Canis lupus familiaris: one gene and its partners. The protein of the gene in region 3 purifies or fractionates together with the protein of the main gene of each other region. This does not show direct contact. Links are inferred from orthologs where the notes say so. Each region holds a gene or a part of one and is shown on either strand. Other genes may lie near its edges. The genes, in order: TMEM259, HSP90AB1 and STYK1.

Region 1 (3,162 bases), on a different chromosome or scaffold from region 3:
CTCTCGCCCCAGGATGCCGAGGAGAGAGGAAGCTTCTGCAGCTGGGAGAGCAGACACAGCCCCCAGACCTGGGACCCCAGTGCTTCCGGGCTACCCCCAGGCAGCCTATCAAGAGACCCTGAGACCTCAGAGAGCCCCACGGCCTCGCTCTAGGGGACACTCACCCAGGGTGACCACCATGACGGGGATGCTGAGCCGCTGCCGCGTGGCCTGTGACAGCCGTAGGAAGCCATACTCCAGGGAGTACTCCACCACATACTCGTCCTGGGGCCATACTGTGGGGACAAGCCCAGTGAGCCTCAGAGCCCTGGCCTAGCCCTGTTCCCTCAGGAGCTGGGTGAGCACTCCTGGTGGCCCTGGGGAGTGAGGGGAGAGGCAGGGCCCGCCCACGGCTCAGGGCTTGGGGAGGCTGGTGGAGCACCTGCATGCATCACACAAACCACATGGGACTTTCAGAGCCCCCGTGACCCCTGCCCACCTCTCACAGATGAGGCTCCCAGAGAAGGAAACCAGTTACTGGGGGCTCCAGGGCATCTGTCACGGCCCCGTGTGCTGATAGATGGGGAAACTGAGGCAGAGTGGCCATTCTCCCAGGTCAGCACCAATGGCCACTCAGACCCTTGGGCCCTCTGCATCGGGGTGCGGCCCCAGGTGGTGACCCCGATGTGACCTGCTGCACACACCTGTTCAGCCCAGGAAACGTGTATTTTTTTTGTTTTTTAAAATTTTTGTTTGTTTGTTATGTTTTTTAAGATTTTTAAGAAATCTCTCTGCCCAGGAGCGCCTGGGTGGCTCACTGGGTGTCTGACTTCAACTCAAGTCATGATCTCGGGGTGCTGGGACGGAGCCCTGCATTCCTGTCCAGCTCTGTGCTCAGCAGGGAGTCTCTCTCTCTCTGCCCCGCCCCCCACTTGTGCACACGCTCTGCTCACTCCTGGAATACGTACACTGTACAGACACACACGTACACAAATAAAACCTTTAAAAAGTAGAAACGAAGAACAAGACTCGAACTCACAACCTCCAGATGGAGGGTCACCCGCTCCCCTGAATGTGCGGGCCGGGTGCCTGCGGTGTGTACCTTTTGTAGGCGTCTCTGGGAAGGGGAGCTCCTGGCTGTCATTTGGGGCCTCGGCACCGCCCGGTGGCTTCAACACCTTGGGCTCAATGTCCAGCTCGAACTGCGGAGTGCCAAGAGGAAGGGGTCAGCTGACTGCAGGGCCCCGCACTCCACCCCCTGCAGCTGTGACCTCCAGCCTCCACGGGGACACCCTCCACCCAGCTCCTAACACCCCACTCCTTACACCCAAATGCTCCACCCTAACGCCAGCCACGCTCCTGAGTGGCCATCTCTAAGGAAGGGTCTGCACCAACCACGGGACCCCCTAGCCTCTCGCTGCTTGAGCAAGTCCTTCCCTGCAGACCGTGGGCGCCGCACATCCGCCTGACCCCTGCCCGTGCTGGCAGCCACCTGCACGTCTCTGGTGACAGGGCGTTCACCACCCCACAGGTGGCCACCTGTCTAGGACAGGCAAGACCGGCTTCAAGCTCCTAGGAAGCGTCCCCACAAAGGGGCCAATCCCTTTCCAGGAAGGGCTGGGAAACGGCCCAAGGCCCTGCCCCTGCCCGCCACAGTCCCGCCCCAAGACCAGCAGGCCCAGTCGAGCCAGGGGCCCGGCCGGGTGCCGCTCACCTTGATGGAGGTGTTCCCGAACATGTCCACGGCCAGCTCCTCCTCTTCCTCCTCCTCCGGCTCGGGGCTGCCCGGCTCCACGGCCAGGCCGGGGAAGCTGCCGCGACGGCCGCCGTCACAGAACTGCAGGAAGACGGGCGCGCGGCTCGAGTTGTGCTGGACCTCCACACGCAGGATGCCCTCCCGGGGCCACTTGTCCCGCACGTGCTCCAGGCAGTTGATGGGCGAGCGTGAGAAGACGATGTGGATGTAGGCCAGGACGAAGAGCACGAACAGCGCCTGCGGGCGGGAGCCGGTCAGCGCGGAGGCCCAGGCACCCTGAGGCCCTGCTCAGGAGGCGCTGTGCCGAGCCCGCTCCCGGGGAGGCCCCGGAATGGCCCGGAGCCAGTGGGGCGGCCTCTCCCCCGCGTGGGGTCCGGTCAGACAGGCTCGGGCCTGCCCAGCAGCCTCACGCGCTGCCCTGACCTCCCAGCTACACACAGCCTGCCTGGCCCGACCCCTCCCACGCTGGCAGGGCAACCTGCTGCGTCTCTGGGAGGCAGTGTCCCCATCTGTAAAATAGGGACCGTGCAGCTCTCGCCCAGGGTGACCCTGCCCCCAGGGACATGGGGCAGGGGGCTCCTGGCAAGGGTGGGTGGGGCCAGGGGAGCTGCTCCCCCCATCCCCCTCAGACTTGCCTGCTGTCAGCAGCGTGGAAGGAGGGGGGGGGGTGAGTGGCTACCCTGCGACGCCCCACCAACAGCACCTTTGCTGCCTTGTAGGTGCATCAAAAGGGCCATCCCTCCCCCTGAGCCCCCCTCACGGTCTGATGGTTGCCCTTCTCCGAGGCCTTGGCCAAGGGTCACTCCCCCAGACAGGATGCCGCGTCCAGGCATCACAACTGTGTACCCGCCACCACCCCAGCCCTTGGGAAAAGGGCCCAGCTGGCCCGACGTGACGGTTCTGAGAGAAGTGGGTGCAAGGAGCTGGAGACCCCAGGGGCTGTGTCTCCTCAGGCCAGTGCAGCCTCCAACACACCGGCTACTCGCGGCCACATGGCCAGCAGCAGGGACGCCACGGCCCTGTCCCTTCTGTGCTCTGCCACAAGCCCCGTACGTGCTGCCATGCCATCGTGGACCACGGGCCCTGCACGGGGCAGACACCCCATGCTCTCATCCCAGCCAGGGGGATGCGGGGCCAGGGGACGGAGAAGCTCCGTGTCTGAGCACGCTGCTGTGATCCGGGCCCAGCTCCGCCTGAAGCCAGGGCCCACCCGCTGACTCCAAAGCCTCCTCTCCAGATGTGCCCCTGCGGGACGGTGATGTGGACACTACAGACCCCTGAGCAGAGCCCAAGCCGCCCTGGAGCCCCAGGTGCTCAGGTCACGGCAGGTGCTGCAGTGACAAGAGCGCTGGAGCCCATGCCTGGATGGCAGCGTGGAAGGCCAGCTGGGGCCCCACATGCCTGCAGAGCCTCCCACAGGGCCCAGC
Region 2 (2,808 bases), on a different chromosome or scaffold from region 3:
CCTCTGCTCCTGGATCCCTAGGTTCTGCTCAAAGAGCCAGTTGCAGGTTTTGGTACCTTGGAAATGTAACTTTTTGCTCTTATAATTTTATTTTATTAAATTAAACTGCTGCAATGGGCTTTAAAGTCCGGTGTTTTGGTTGACTGAAGTGTATGCTTTAGGAAGGGGACGGATATAAAGGGCATGGTGTTACACATGCTGGTCTGAGACTACCCTTTAGAAGCAATGTTGGGTGACTTGAAAAGTGCTAAATGGCTATAGGGTGACCTTAGTTTTCAATGTACCTGAAGAATGACCAGGTAAAGCTTGGGATAGAAAAGCTAAGGAAGGGATCCCTGGGTGGCGCAGTGGTTTAGCGCCTGCCTTTGGCCCAGGGCGCGATCCTGGAGACCCGGGATCGAATCCCACGTCAGGCTCCCGGTGCATGGAGCCTGCTTCTCCCTCTGCCTGCGTCTCTGCCTCTCTCTCTCTCTGTGACTATCATAAATAAATAAAAATTTAAAAAAAAAAAAAAAAAAAAAGAAAAGCTAAGGAAACTCAAAAAGCAGCAGGAAATCCACTTTACAAGGGAGAGCATAACTGTATAAAACCGTATCTTCTTTATTTTGCATACTTTAATCTCAGAACAAAATAAACAAACACCACAATACACATCCAAACCCCTTGTCAAATGTCATGAGGGCTAGGGCTTAAGGCCCTTCTGTCCTGCCTCTAACAAAGACAGGAGGAGAAAAAAAAAAATCCACTAGACATCAGCAGAGGGAACCAGGTGAACCGGGGCCACTCAGGGCTGCTGGGGAGCCATGGGGACACTATACAGAGGGCACAAGGTCTGCAAGGAGAAATTAATCGACTTCTTCCATGCGAGAGGCATCCTCATCACCCTCAAGTGGAGGGATCTCATCAGGAACAGCAGCACTGGGTTCCTCCGCTGCCACTTCATCTTCATCGATGCCTAGAAAGTAAAAAAGGCCTGTGAACTTTGATCCAAATACCAGTAAATCATCTTTGTCCCCCATGAGACCAACTCCCCAGTTCCTTGGCACACTCTGGTAACTGGCACCCACCCAGGCCTAGCTTGATCATGCGGTAAATGCGGTTGGAGTGAGTCTGGGGATCCTCCAGTGAGAAGCCGGAGGAGAGTAGAGCTGTTTCAAACAGTAGCACCACCAGGTCCTTGACAGCCTTGTCGTTCTTATCTGCCTCTGCCTTCTGCCGCAGCGTCTCCACAATGGGGTGGTCAGGGTTGATCTCCAGATGCTTTTTGGCCATCATATAGCCCATTGTAGAGTTGTCCCGGAGTGCCTGGGCTTTCATGATCCGCTCCATGTTGGCAGTCCAGCCATAAGTGCTAGTCACGATGCAGCAGGGTGAAGATACCAGCCTGTTAGAGATGGTCACCTGTAGACAATTACAGAAACTCCCATTGATGGTGCATCAGATTATCATTTCCAGGCCAAAATGACTATATGTTAAGTTCTATTTTTTTTAATTCTTTTTTTTACATTTTTTTTATTTATTTATGATAGTCACGGGGGGGGGGGGGGGGGGGGGGGGGCAGAGACACAGGCAGAGGGAGAAGCAGGCTCCATGTACCGGGAGCCTGACGTGGGATTCGATCCCGGATCTCCAGGATCGCGCGCTGGGCCACCCAGGGATCCCTATATGTTATATGAGTTCTACTCAAAAACTCAAAGCTAGAGATGCCTAGGTGGCTCAGGATCTGAGCATCAGCCTTCAGCTCAAGGCGTGGTCCTGGTCCTGCATCAGAGTCCCTGCAGAGAACCTGCCTCTCCAGGTCTCTGCCTCTCTCATAAATGATTGAAATCTTAAAAAATCTGGGATCCCTGGGTGGCTCAGCAGTTTAGTGCCTGCCTTCAGCCCAGGGCATGATCCTGGAGAGTCCTGGGGTTGAGTCCCACAACGAGATCCCTGCATGGAGACGGCTTCTCTCTCTGCCTGTGTGTCTCTCATGAATAAATAAATACAATCTTTAAAAATAAATCTAGGGATCCCTGGGTGGCGCAGCGGTTTGGCGCCTGCCTTTGGCCCAGGGCACGATCCTGGAGACCCGGGATCGAATCCCACATCGGGCTCCCGGTGCATGGAGCCTGCTTCTCCCTCTGCCTGTGTCTCTGCCTCTCTCTCTCTCTCTCTATGTGACTATCATAAATAAATAAAATTAAAAAAATAAATAAATAAATAAAAAAAATAAAATAAAAATAAATCTAATTGTGTAATGCCACAAGATTCTGAGAGCACTTGTTTACAAGACACATGCCCTACTCCCAGAGTTGCTCACCTTTTCAACCTTCTTATCCAAGATTTCCTTCATGAGTTTGCAGAGATTCTCGAACTTGGCCTTGCTCTCCTCCATTTTCTTCTTCTCCTCTTCATCCTCAGGCAACTCCAGGCCCTCCTTGGTAACTGAGACCAGACTCTTCCCATCAAACTCCTTGAGCTGTTGCACGCAGTACTCGTCGATAGGCTCTGTCATATACACTACCTCGAAGCCCCGTTTCCGCACTCGCTCCACAAAAGCGGAGTTGGCAACCTGCTCTTTGCTCTCACCTGTAGAGTTATGGAGTGTGACTCGGGTCAGAATGTCGCCTCCTGCCAGTTCCCAGAGATTCCCAAATGTCCTCCCTCCCTTTCACCCTGAGAGCCTTTGATCAGACCCAAGCTCCAACGCACCAGTGATGTAATAGATGGATTTCTGAGTCTCCTTCATACGGGACACATACTCTGAAAGAGAAGTCATCTCATCTCCAGATTGGGAAGTGTGGTAACGCAGCAGCTCAGAAAGGC
Region 3 (3,752 bases):
TCCCTGCATGGAGTCTGCTGCGCCCTCTGCCTGTGTCTCTGCCTTTCTTTCTCTCTCTCTCTCTGTCTCTCTCTCTCTGTTTCTCTCTCTCTCTCCCTCTCTCTCTCCCCCTGTATTTCTCTCAAGAATAAATAAATAAATCTTTAAAAATAAAAAAATAAAGGGGGGGATTTGAAGAAAGCCACGTATGCAGAAAGGATACCATATGAACATAAATAAAGACAGCCATCTCCAAGCCAAAAAAAAAGGGGGGGGGGCGGGCGCTGGGACAGAACTTTCCCTCCTAGCAATCAGAAAGAAACCTTGATCTGCCAACAGCTTGATTTTAGACTTCTAGCTTCCAGAACTGTGAGAGAATGAAGTTATGTTGCCACTCAGTTTGTGGTACTTCATTAGAGCAGCCCTAGCAAACTAATAGTGATTAAGGCTCTAAAGAAAAAGTGTATGATTTTCACTGAAGCAAAACAGGTGTTTTGTCCTATTGCCTTTTGCTTTCTTGTGCTTCACAGATCATGTGTTTCTTACAAATTGCAGGTGTGTATCAAGCTTGCATTTTTTTCCTTTTTCTTTTTCTTTTTAAGATTTTATTTATTTGAGAGAGAGAGAGCACAGCAAGGGGGAAGACTGGGGGAGAAGCAGACCCCCCTCCCCTGCTGAGTGGGAGCCCTACTCAGAGCTTGATCCAGGGACTCTGGGATCATGACCTGAGCCAAAGGCAGATGCTTAACTGACTGAGCCATCCAGGTGCCCCTAACCTTATATTTTTTTTCAACAGCATTTGTTCACTTTGTGTCTCTGTTGGTTATTCTCACAATGTTTCAAACTTTATTATTATTGTTGTTAGATTTGTTACAGTGGTCTGCAATCTGATTATGACTCCCTAAAACCTCAGATGACAGTTAACATGTTTTTAGTAATAAAATATTTTTTAATATTTATTTAATTATTTTAGAGGAGGGAGGGAAAGTTTTTTTTTTTTAATTCTATTTATTTCTTTGAGAGAGAGCATGAGCTCCAGTGAGAGAGAGAGCAAGAGTGGTGGGGAGGGGCAGAGGGAAAGAGCTAAACAGACTCCCTGCTGGGCGTAGAGCCCAATGAAGTGCTGGACACCCATCCCAGGATCCCAGGATCATGACCTGAGCTCAAGGCAGATGCTTAACCCACTAAGCCAGCCAGGCACCCCAAGAGAAATATAGTTTTAAGCAGACTCCATGCCGAGCATGGAACCTGGTGCCTGGCTCAATCTCACAACCCTGAGATCACATCCTGAGCTGAAAACAAGAGTCGAACACTTTGCCCGTACCACCCAAGCACCAGAGCAATAAAGCATTTTTAATTAAGATATGCACATTGTCTTTTTAGACATAGTGCTATTCCACACTTAATGTACTACAGTACAATGCAAACATAACTTTTGTTTGCACCAGAATCAAAAATTTCATTTGACTCACTTCATTACAATATTCGCTTTATTATAGTGGTCTGAAACCACACCCACAATACCTCTGAAGTATGCCTGTATAATTTACTCTTGAACAATGTAGGGTTTAGGGACATGGATCCCCTGAGCAGTAGAAAATAAGCATACAACTTTTGACTCCTCCAAAACTTAACTACTAATAGCCTATTCACCGGAACCCTTGCGAATAACATAAACAATCCAGCAGTATTTATTTTGTAGATTATATGTATTACATGCTGTATTCTTACAATAAAGCAAGCTAGAGAAAAGGAAACACTATTAAGAAAATCATAAGGAAGAGAAAATATATTTATAGTACTGTAATGTATTGAAAAAAAAATCCAGGTATAAGGGCACCCACACAACTCAAACCCCGGTTGTTCAAGGGTCAACTGTACCTCCCCGTGCCTCCCTGAAAGGCCTAGCTAGCCCCTCGCTGGCTGTAAGGACTGCTGAGGAGGGTCAGTCAGGTCAAGGGCACCGGGTCCAGATGCATTTTCAGTGTGTGTGCTGCACGTTACAGGAGCTTTAGTGCGTGATTTCCACACTACAGATGGCTCTCCCTAAGTAGCAGGAAGACAGCTTGGTCTGAAACGTCTGAGAAACTCAGCCGGCGAGGGGGTTCCTAGCAGAAAGGGGCCACACTCCTAGAAATGAAAGGAAAGGCAAGAGACAAAACAGGGATGAGGTTGACAGGGAGAAGGGAAAGGAGCACAGCAAAAGAGAAGACAAATTAAGAAAACAGAAATCCGGTCACCAAGGAACAGCATATCACTGCACAGTCATAAAAACCTAAAAGTCGAAACTCACAAGATGTTTTTACCAAAGAAATACAGGTTCGTTCACCTGGTGATTATTGTTCGTTTGCATAAAATTCGCACCACCGCTCACAACCGTTCCACTCTCCCTCTTGTCCTCCCTCTTTTCTTCCCAAACGTCCGAGTCTACCCCTACCCCTCCAGCTGCATCACTGCCATCCGGCCTCCACCCTTACTGCCCCCAAAGCCCAGTTCACTACCGGTAGTGTCCCTCCTCCGGCCACTCTGCTTTCGGATGCAACGGGACCAGCCAGAGGGGGAAAAGAATCATCGGTTTGGGTACGACAAGGTGTGCCAGTCTCAAGGAAATGCTTCTCGGTCCCTCCTTCCCACTGGTGGGGCGTGGCTGCCAGCAAAGGATGGAGTCGGGGCGGGCTCCCCGCAAAGGGAAATCTGCGGGCACTGAGGTTTCCGGGACTCACCACACACTGGCCAGCAGGAAAGCTGCTGAAACGGTAAAATTTACCTCGTCGCTGATCTACTCACTGAGTGCCTCCCCTCGAGACTGCTCCGGGGTCAGGTCAGGAGACGTCAGTCCAAGTGAAACGTGCAAAGGCCTGGTAAAGCGCAACAGCACCACCTACTGTCCGACCTGATCCCAGCGGCCTTCGTTGGTGCTCCAAAGGGCTCCAAAGGGCTGGTCAGGGTTTAGCCTGATGAGTCCCCTCCTGGGGTAATTGCAACCTCAAGCCTTGGCTGGGGATGCCCTAAGGAATAAATGGAAATAAAAGTATTAGCAGGTAATCATTCATTAGCATATGCTTTCTAAATACACTCTGGGCTCTCTTCTGGGATATAGCATTAACGGAAGTAGTTGTCCCTGACCTGCCCCCATGGAATTTACAATCATAGGAAACACAAAAGAGAATACACGGCTGAAAGAATTCCAAATTAGATGCTAACACTTCATACAAATTCTATTAAAGAAATGCGGGCCGCGGATAACTTAAATAGGTGGCTGGTTTGTTCAGCACTGATAGCTCGCATACCAAACAGAAAGGAGCACCTATTAGAACAGAAAGAATTTAGGTGCAGTGTAATGTGGAGTATTTAGCAATTGAGGTACTTTGGTTCTCTAGAGGCTTCTCTATTAGAGTTTTTCTTCCTTTGGAGCTCTTAAGATCGGATGAACTGTACTAAATGTCACTGAATTGTACATTTAAAATGGTTAATGGGTGATTTATGTTATATGAATTTTACATTAATTTTTTTTAAAGGGATGAGGTCTCATCGGCCAGTTGTTCTTCCTACCTTTTCTGACATGATTGATTAATAAAAGCCAAGTGAGGGATGCCTGGGTGGCTCAGCGGTTAAGCTCGGGTGGTGATCCTGGAGTCCCGGGATCGAGTCCCGCATCGGGCTCCCTGCATAGAGCCTGCTTCTCCCTCTGCCTGTGTCTCTGCCTCTCGCTGTGTGTGTCTCTCATGAATAAACAAATAAATTCTTAAAAAAAAAAAAAAAAAAAAAAGCCA

The links.
Region 1: the proteins of STYK1 (region 3) and TMEM259 purify together in Homo sapiens (affinity purification with mass spectrometry; 3 studies listed by BioGRID and IntAct, with this or other methods). This does not show direct contact. The link is inferred for Canis lupus familiaris from reciprocal best matches to the Homo sapiens genes STYK1 and TMEM259.
Region 2: the proteins of STYK1 (region 3) and HSP90AB1 purify together in Homo sapiens (affinity purification with mass spectrometry; 3 studies listed by BioGRID and IntAct, with this or other methods). This does not show direct contact. The link is inferred for Canis lupus familiaris from reciprocal best matches to the Homo sapiens genes STYK1 and HSP90AB1.

What each region holds. Positions count from the first base shown.
Region 1 is NC_049241.1:58,177,800-58,180,961, reverse strand, and holds part of TMEM259 (membralin), read right to left. Parts: intron 1,973-3,162; coding exon 1,694-1,972; intron 1,182-1,693; coding exon 1,082-1,181; intron 276-1,081; coding exon 165-275; intron 1-164. UniProt on the Homo sapiens protein: May have a role in the ERAD pathway required for clearance of misfolded proteins in the endoplasmic reticulum (ER). Promotes survival of motor neurons, probably by protecting against ER stress.
Region 2 is NC_049233.1:12,852,027-12,854,834, reverse strand, and holds the end of HSP90AB1 (heat shock protein HSP 90-beta), read right to left. Parts: coding exon 2,695-2,808; intron 2,572-2,694; coding exon 2,303-2,571; intron 1,402-2,302; coding exon 1,068-1,401; intron 956-1,067; coding exon 846-955; 3' UTR 577-845; downstream 1-576. UniProt on the Homo sapiens protein: Molecular chaperone that promotes the maturation, structural maintenance and proper regulation of specific target proteins involved for instance in cell cycle control and signal transduction. Undergoes a functional cycle linked to its ATPase activity.
Region 3 is NC_049248.1:11,056,964-11,060,715, forward strand, and holds the start of STYK1 (tyrosine-protein kinase STYK1), read right to left. Parts: upstream 2,761-3,752; 5' UTR 2,481-2,760; intron 1-2,480. UniProt on the Homo sapiens protein: Probable tyrosine protein-kinase, which has strong transforming capabilities on a variety of cell lines. When overexpressed, it can also induce tumor cell invasion as well as metastasis in distant organs.